2 linked regions of the Oryctolagus cuniculus genome follow. The protein of the gene in region 1 binds, or shares a complex with, the protein of each later gene. Each region holds a gene or a part of one and is shown on either strand. Other genes may lie near its edges.

Region 1 (3,806 bases):
AGGGCAGGCTCCTCACGATGGCGTTCTTCTTCGCCATCCGGCGGGTGCCCAGGGCCAGGCAGGTAGTGATGACAGCGGGAAGACCTGCGGGGAGGGCGGTGAGGAAGCGACCCCCAGGGAGGGGCCAGGAGACCTGCTGTGGCCCCCAAGGCTATCAGCTCCTGACCCCTGGCACCTGGCACCGAGACATCTGGGAAGACAGCCTTTGCTGATGAGACTTACAAACAGGAGGAGAAAGAGGCTGCCGTTACCTTCTGGGATCGCAGCCACAGCCAAGGCCACGGCGATCTTGAAGTAGTAGATGGCACCGCGGATCCAGGAGCCCCCGTGGACGGGGTCGTTGAAGTGGCCGATGTTGATAAGCCACACGGCCACGCAGATGAGGGAGATGACCTTGGACAGCTGCTCCCCGAACTCATCCAGCTTCTGCTGCAGCGGCGTCTTGTCCTGCTCCGTGGCGGCCATCTGGTCACGGATCTTCCCGATCTCGGTGCTCACGCCGGTGGTGGCCACGATGCCCAGGGCCTTGCCGGCCGCGATGTTGGTACCCTGGGAAGGTGAAGGAGAGGCAAGGCGTTGGGCTAGGGGTGCCCCGCCCCCCTTCTCTCTCTTCCCACGCCTCCTCCATCTTCCTCCCAGAGCTGGGCTCCTGGCTGGAGCACGCGACAGCTGGCCCCGGGCTGCTCACCGAGAAAAGCATGTTCTTCTTGTCCTGGTTGACAGCCCGCGGGTCAGGGACTGGCTCCGTGTGCTTGATGACGGACACGGACTCGCCTGCGGAGAAGGGGCCGGGTCTTTCAGGTGACATCACCTCCTTCTCCCTGACTCCCACCCCACCCCACGCCCTCCCTGCTCAGCAGGGACAGGGCCTGGCCAGGACCCAGCGACGGCCCTGCAGGCAGGCTGGGCCCTGGGAGGGGCTGCACTGGAGCAGGAAGCCCTTGTCTCGCCAGCTGCACAACGTTGCGCGCTTAACCTCCATTTGCCCCTCTGAAAAATGGGGACACTTGAGCGCTGTGTTTTGGTGACAATCAAAGCAGCCGATGTATGCAGAGGTGCACTGTCCAGTGTGGGTCACACCCCTGGGAGGGACAGGTCCCCGCCCCCTCACGGCTCCTGGGCCAGCCCGGCCTGGCCTGCTTGGACCACAGGGAATGTTCTCCAGCTCTGCTCGCCGCCTCCCAGGGGAGGAAGGGATGCAGCTGAGACTGGGGGGGACATCCACACCCTGCACTTTCCCCTGGAACCCCATGGTCCCTCGCTCGAGGACCTCTGAGGACACCAAAGGAGGCGGCACAGCTGTCCAGGTGTGGCTGTGACTACGTCCCCGTGGAAGAGGTGGGCCGACGGCCACATGGCAAAGGGGCCCTAACGTGCGGCCTCTCCCCAGGGCCCCGGATGATGGAGGAGGCCAGCAGAGGCTCCTCCTCCCTGCCTGTCCCCCCAGCCCGCACACCTGTCAGGATGGACTGGTCCACGCGGAGGGTGGTGGACTTGATAGACAGGATGCGGATGTCTGCAGGGACTTTGTCCCCAACTGTGGAGAGAGCAAAGTGAGGTCAGCTGGGAATGGTATCTTCTCCCTACCTAAGAAAAGCCCAGGCTTTGTCCAAGCCCCTCACCTCACCCATCCTTTGGGATTCAAGGCTGGGGCCCGGTCCTGGGCTTAGGTCAGGCCTTCGGCAGGTGCTCCTACAGCCCCCAGAAAGCACCCCTGGGACCCCCAATTCTCCTGCCCCCCATTGTAGAATGCTTCCCACGATAGGAAGGGCCCAGCATCCTGCCTGGCACACAGTAGGTGCTCAGTTAGTGTCCCCTGAACAACCGAAGGGGCAACTGGGGACAGATCGGATGTACAGAGAGAAAGGAGAACAGAGAGGCAGGGGGGGGCAGAGTGAGGTAAAAAAGCACCCAAAGAAGTGGGAGCAGGGGTGTCAGAGCGAATTGCCAGGGTGAGAAGGCAGGGGAAGGCGGGAAGACGTGAGGGAAAACTCCAGAAAGTCAAGGTTAACGGAGAGAAACAGTGCAGCAGGAAGCAGGAGAGAGGGAAGGCGACGAGGGAGGAGGCCAGCGGAGAGGGAGCAGGTGTGGGGTGAGTCTCGGAGGGGACCGCGTATCGGGAGCCCCTCAGCCTGGGCAGCTGACGGAAATCAGGGGCTGGGGGTGGGCCAGAGAGGAAACAAGGTGGGCTTGGAAAAGCAGAAACTGCAGCAACGTGCTGCAGCTGGGACACGCAGAGGCCTGGCCGGGAGACACATGGGGGCCGGCTGGGTCAGCCCGGAGACCACCTTGGGGAGTACTAAAGGCTGGGCGCCCCCACCAGCCTTAGGGGCCTGTAAAAGAGGCTGCACCCCTCCCGGAGGCTCTGCTCGATTCCACCCTGGCCCCCACAGACGACACTGGGGCAGGGCTTGGTGGATTTCCCTCCGCAGCCAGGCCGGAGGAAGCGGCGGCTGCGGTGGCGCTGGGCGGGACACCCTGTCACCCAAGCCCAGGCGATATTTATAGACATTCATGGTGCTGACTCCAAGCTGTCACGGTGGCAAGTCGGCCCTGTGATGGGATGCCGGGGTCTCCAGCCCGCCCTCACTCCCTCGCCCCAAGCTTCCCAGGGTAGCGGCGACTCGGGTGTCTAGGGAGGGCAGAGGCCTAGGAAGACGCGGTCCCAGTGCCAGGGGCCTGGAGACGTGGGGAGGCCTGCTCGGGGCAAATATAAAAACCGCTGAAGGGGGCAGAATCCCAGTCATCTTAGTCACTCGGCCCCCACCCCTCCCCGGGCAGGAATTAAGTGTCCCTCACTGGGGCGGGGCCCTCCTTGGGCTCGCCTCCTCCCTGGTCCCGTGCTTGCGGGCTGGGGCCTGAGTTTCCCATACATGGCCGGGGGCTCGAGCCTTTGGCCCCCCTCCTCCCTTCTACCCTCGCTCCTTCCCCTCGGAGAGGCCTCAAGGGCACAGAGAGGTCAAGACAGAAAGCTGACCAAGCTTGGGGGTGGAAGGAAGGAGAGGGAAGGCCAGGCCTCGGGAGGGGGTGGAGATGGGGCCGTTGGCAGGGCCTGGGTTCCACCTGTTGCATGCAAGTGCTGGGGGAGTGGAGGGGGAGCCGGGGGTCTGCCTGTAGCCTCAGGGACAGGACTGGCTGTTCCTGTGGCAACTCGGCCCGGAGCACTGCTACCTGGTGTGACCTCCCAAGGAGTCTGGGAAGGAGCGCCCAGACCCCACCCGAGGTTACCGCCCGCGTCACTCACCCGCCACCTCCACGATGTCCCCGGGGACGATGTCCCGAGCCTTGATCCTTTGCACTGACTTGCGGTCAGCCCGGTACACCTTCCCCATCTCGGGCTCATATTCCTTCAGCGCCTCTATGGCGTTCTCAGCGTTCCGCTCCTGATGGCACAGGGCAAGAGGAGCCGGCCATGAGAAGGCAGGGGCTGGGGCTGAGGGGGAGTGGGGAGTGATGGAGGAGCGGAGCCGGGGCGGGGGGGGGGGGGGCTGGGGCCTGAGAGGTGGGGACCTCGCAGAGGGGGCAGGGCTAGGCAGTGTTGGCTCTCAGAGCCAGGGAGTGCTCAAGACCCCACAGGAGGACAGGGGTGTGCGTGTGCGGTGAGGGTGTGGGTATGGGTGTGTGGTGGCTGTAAACAGGTAGAGACGGTTTTTTGGGGGAGAAGAAAGAAGAACCAAAGAAAATTAAAAAAGCAGAAACCAGAAAAGGCAGAGGGTGGAGAAGAAAGAGGTGGAAGGAAATCAGAGGAGCACGTGAGGAATTCCCCCCTTGGCACCCGCACTCATACGCTGCGACTCATTCAGTTT
Region 2 (4,559 bases), on another chromosome or scaffold:
TTTATGAAGAACAGGTCCTGCTTTTAAAACAACCAAGCAAAATTACCCATAGTCTATAACCACCTGGGGGCATGTTATACCTTGTAGACAATTTAAACTTTTGGGTCACCTGTCACAAGGCCAAAGCCAGAAGCCAGGAACTCAGTCCTCATCTCCCACACGGGTGACAAGGACCTGATTATCTGAATCATCACCTGCTGAACTACTAGAGTGTGCCATTAGCAGGAAGCTAGAGCTGAGGACAGAGCTGGAAATTGAACCAGGCACTCTGATATTCTATGCAAGAGTCCTGAGGAGCCAAATGCCCAAGCCTGGGATGTATGACTTTGATTAACCCTGACTGGGAATTCAGAGGGGGATTGCTCTATTATAAAGAAGGGATTTGCTGAGCAAACACAACTGCTGGGGTCAGATTTAAGGTGCTTAACTGACTTATTTTGAAGTCCAATTAAACCCTTCAGAGGCTCTATTTATCTTCAAACATCTGATTTGTTGGTTGCAAACTCATTTAGCCTGTATTCATAAAGAAAGTTATATAATTTGACATCTTCCACATTTATTCAATAACTCAGGTTTTTCAAAAATTTTGACCAGTTCTATTTCTAGCCCCAATCTATCGAAATGACTATGTCTTGCCATTTGAATTTACTGCTATATTAGTTTACTGACAGAGATAGACAAACCACGCCTCTCTCAGCTGTTTCAGATGAAACTGTAGATTAAGGTGTAAACTTGCAATGCACTGTTTAGCTGGAAAGTTATGGGGAGCAGGTGATGGAAGAGATAACTTTCACTGTTTGGACTAAAGTCAATTTTGAAGCAGCTCAAGATGTCTTTTGAATTCTGGATCGTGGTGTGTGTGTGTGTGTGTGTGTGTGTGTGTGTGTGTGTTGGAGAGAGAGAGAGAGAACTCTTTATATTGCAAACAGCTAAAGATATAGGTGGTAACACAAAGTCACATCTTTACACCTAGGCCTGCTCAGTAGTGGGAGTGGCCAGATGCTGCACTGATTTTTAAAAATTATTTTATCTGGCTGGCGCCGCAGCTCATTAGGCTAATCCTCTGCCTTGCGGCGCCGGCACACCGGGTTCTAGTCCCGGTCGGGACGCCGGATTCTGGCCCGGTTGCCCCTCTTCCAGTCCAGCTCTCTGCTGTGGCCCGGGAGTGCAGTGAAGGATGGCCCAAGTCCTTGGGCCCTGCACCCCATGGGAGACCAGGATAAGTACCTGGCTCCTGCCATCGGATCAGCGCGGTGCGCCGGCCGTGGCGGCCATTGGAGGGTGAACCAATGGCAAAGGAAGACCTTTCTCTCTGTCTCTCTCTCTCTCACTGTCCACTCTGCCTGTCAAAAAAAAAATTATTTTATCACTAATGGTTTGTGATGTTTTTAAAGATAAGTTAGATGTATTCATGAAAATGCAAAGGATCAATTTAAAATCCACATCAAGTGCACCAAAAGGGAACTGGAAATAGAAGTTTTAGTGCCCTTTGATGTTTAAATAAATTGGCAACCGAAGAAACAGTCTTAGTCAACATATTTCCAAGTCCCCCTGAACACAAATAGCCTCAAACCTTCAGGGTTATTCCTTTCAGCTGTTTCATCAGTGACATCACAGTGTCACCTCCCTTGGACTACTTTAGGCCCTGCCCAGAGCCCAGGAGTCCACACAGCCTGGGAGATGAGCCGGAGTTGGAGCCAGAGTTGGAGAAAGTAAGGAGAAACCTACAGCAGCCAACGTGTGTCCTTGACCTTCTTCAGGTAACAGCAAGGTTTTTAGGCTTAGCATAGGGTGCATGTGTGTGTGTGTGTGTGTGTGTGTGTGTGCAAGTTTTAAATGAGAAAGGCAGAATGTTTACATATCTTAATAAAATAGGCAATACCTACCTTAAGATGTAAAGTCATTCCTATTTTCTTCATGCATGTTTCCCCTTCCGATAGTTACAAAACTTTCTTTATAGCACAGAAGAAAGTCTTTAATTTTCTCAAAGACTCCATTGATTCCAAAGTCAAACTTCCTGTCCAATTTATTCATAGATTTTTGGTTTTCAGTTCATCCATATGGCAATCTCTTTGGATCATATGGCATGAACTTGACTTCAGGAAAGGTTTAAGTTGAAGCCAATAGAACTTGATTGATCTGGATTTTTGCCTAAATTTGGATATTCCTAAAAGGCATAAATGTGTGTGTGAGTAAAGTCTACAGTTAATTGTGAGCACACATATTGAAAGAAATGGATTCTTTAGAAATTGTCATCTTAACTGTGTTCTAGTCATTTAAAGAATACACGAAATAATAAATACTTAAGTTCACCATCAAAGTGCAAAAAATAGTAGGAGGTAAAGCAGAGGAAAGAAAGAATAATAATAGATAGCCTGTCAATTCAGAGATGACTATAAAGCAATATGAAGAACACATAAAACATACACAGTTTAAGACATAATTTTAGGGTATCAATTGTATAGCTGTCACCCAGGGCAGGAAGCAGTTCCTTGTTAGCATCCCAGAAATCTGTGCCTGATTACCTCCCCTGCTGTCCCAAGATGTTGAGATCATCTTGTCCTGGTTTTTATTTAAAATTTTACTAACCTTAATATTGCGATAAAGTTCCATGTTTTTTATGTTAAATAGATGGAGTCATTTTGTTCTCTTGCAAACTATCTTACACCCAACAATTATATTTCTGAGATCCACACATTTTTGTTTTGTGTAGCTATAACTGAAATCCATGTATTTTCTTTCTACTCTAGTATTAAAATGTATCAATATGCCAAGTTCTACTATTATTTCCAATTTGGGATTATTGTGAAAATGTTTCTGTGAATACCCTTGTATATGTGTCCTGGTGCGTATGCACTTAAGCATCTGGGGTGGAAGTAAAATTGTTAGATACTAGGAGATGAGCATTTTTAAGCTTCAAAAATGTCAAATAGTTTCCCAAAGTGGTTGAAAATTCACACTAATTTTGTTTATTCAGACTAGTTCTTCGCCAGTGATAACTCTTTCTTGTAATCACTCCTTTGGAGTGACCACAATCCTAGTAACTAGTTCCAGTCAGCCATTCCTAGGCCTGCCTCTAATTTGCTGCCTTTAATGTGCCACCACACAAACAACTTAACCATTCTCTAAAAGTTATTTTTTTCCAGCTGTAATCTTGGGGGAGATAAAAATCACAATAATACTTATGTGAGTTTTTGTGAAGATAACAAAAGCATTTTTCTTATTTCCTGTTAGGCCATCATCCAAGACTCCCTTTACTTAAGAGCTTAATTTAAACAGCAGATTTGGTGGAGCAATTATTTTCCTCCCCCTGAATTGGGTTGTTTTGATCATTAAATACAGGATATTTACTGTATATCTGGAGAAGTTACCCAAGAAAGTGGGTATTTGGACCAGGGTTTGATTTCATTTAGAAAATCCTAAGGGAGAGTCTGTCTTTGTTTCTCATTCCTTTGCCTTTGCTCCTTGACTGGACTCACTGCCCTCCTGTTGCCTTCTTGCACTTGCTCTCCTCCTTTATGCGTTAATTTTCTTCTGTTCATTTTCTCCTCCAAGCAAATGTCTGTAAAGATTTTCATTAGCAATGTAGTACTTCCTTCATGCTGAGGGCCAAACGATGGATAAGAATTAAGAGGGAAATGAAACATTAACCAGTCTCATTCACCATATTTTGAACCAAGATTCAATAACCTAGAGGTTGCTATCATCTGACTTAATCTGCTCTACCAACAAGTATGCAATATGAACAATGACTATTCATATGTTATTTATGCAATTAATAATTTGGCCATTCATAAGTAATAAATATAGTAGTTATAATTAATAATTTATCATAAGCTAATAACTTGCTAGCAACCCTTTCAGTTCCTGGAGCTCCCACCCTTAACAAACACCTTTCTTCTTTAAAACTTTTCACTCCACAGTAGACTTTTGTTGTAAATATCTAAAGTATAGATATCTAAGAATCTAAAGTACCTAACATATCCAAGTCTTTCATTTAGACCACATAGCAAAATGCCAGTTATATCTCATCACTAAAGTAATAGATTGACTGTAGTGCATGCATTCTCAAAGTATGATTCCCTGCATGTACAATCTGTACACCCTAAGAGGATACCATCCCTGCTCTTTGAAGTGTTTACAATCTAGGCACATCCTGGACTGGACTAAAAATAGCTGGCGCAATCCCTTTTTGAAATAGGAGTACCCATGAGGTTAACACTTGCTCTCTGGACTGAGTATCTGTTGTGTGAGGGACTTTTGATTGACCCTAGTAGGCTCTGTGCCCTGTGCAGGGCTTGTCAGAAGCCACGCAGCTGTTGAAACTGCTTTTCACCAAGGTTGGATGAAGACTTAAAGCAGCCTGAAACTAGAAATATTATGATCTCCCATGCCTATATGGGAAGTCAAAGCAGGAACAACACTGGACCGGAACATTTTTCTGTTTTGGTGCCTTGTATGGTGATCCTTTAAGTTAGCAAAGAGGACACACATACACACACACATTAATCTGAGAGAGAAAAATGTACTATTTTGTATGTTATCCAAAGCATCCATAC

Evidence for each region.
Region 2: the proteins of ATP2A1 (region 1) and SLN are in contact, whole or in part, in a crystal structure (PDB 3W5A), measured with the Oryctolagus cuniculus proteins. Residues at the interface, in XP_069919846.1 of Oryctolagus cuniculus: Phe88, Val89, Leu96, Ala100, Ile103, Val104, Trp107, Arg110, Asn111, Asn114, Arg324, Lys328, Trp794, Leu797, Gly801, Leu802, Thr805, Ala806, Phe809, Trp932, Ser936, Leu939, Leu943, Leu946, Ile947, Val950, Pro952, Leu953, Ile956; in NP_001075856.1 of Oryctolagus cuniculus: Met1, Glu2, Arg3, Ser4, Thr5, Arg6, Glu7, Leu8, Leu10, Asn11, Phe12, Val14, Val15, Thr18, Val19, Leu21, Ile22, Trp23, Leu25, Val26, Tyr29.

What each region holds. Positions count from the first base shown.
Region 1 is NC_091450.1:7,719,181-7,722,986, reverse strand, and holds part of ATP2A1 (sarcoplasmic/endoplasmic reticulum calcium ATPase 1), read right to left. Parts: intron 3,384-3,806; coding exon 3,245-3,383; intron 1,538-3,244; coding exon 1,457-1,537; intron 775-1,456; coding exon 689-774; intron 550-688; coding exon 252-549; intron 85-251; coding exon 1-84. UniProt on the Homo sapiens protein: Key regulator of striated muscle performance by acting as the major Ca(2+) ATPase responsible for the reuptake of cytosolic Ca(2+) into the sarcoplasmic reticulum.
Region 2 is NC_091432.1:99,520,821-99,525,379, reverse strand, and holds the start of SLN (sarcolipin), read left to right. Parts: upstream 1-1,666; 5' UTR 1,667-1,760; intron 1,761-4,559. UniProt on the Homo sapiens protein: Reversibly inhibits the activity of ATP2A1/SERCA1 and ATP2A2/SERCA2 in sarcoplasmic reticulum by decreasing the apparent affinity of the ATPase for Ca(2+). Also inhibits the activity of ATP2A3/SERCA3.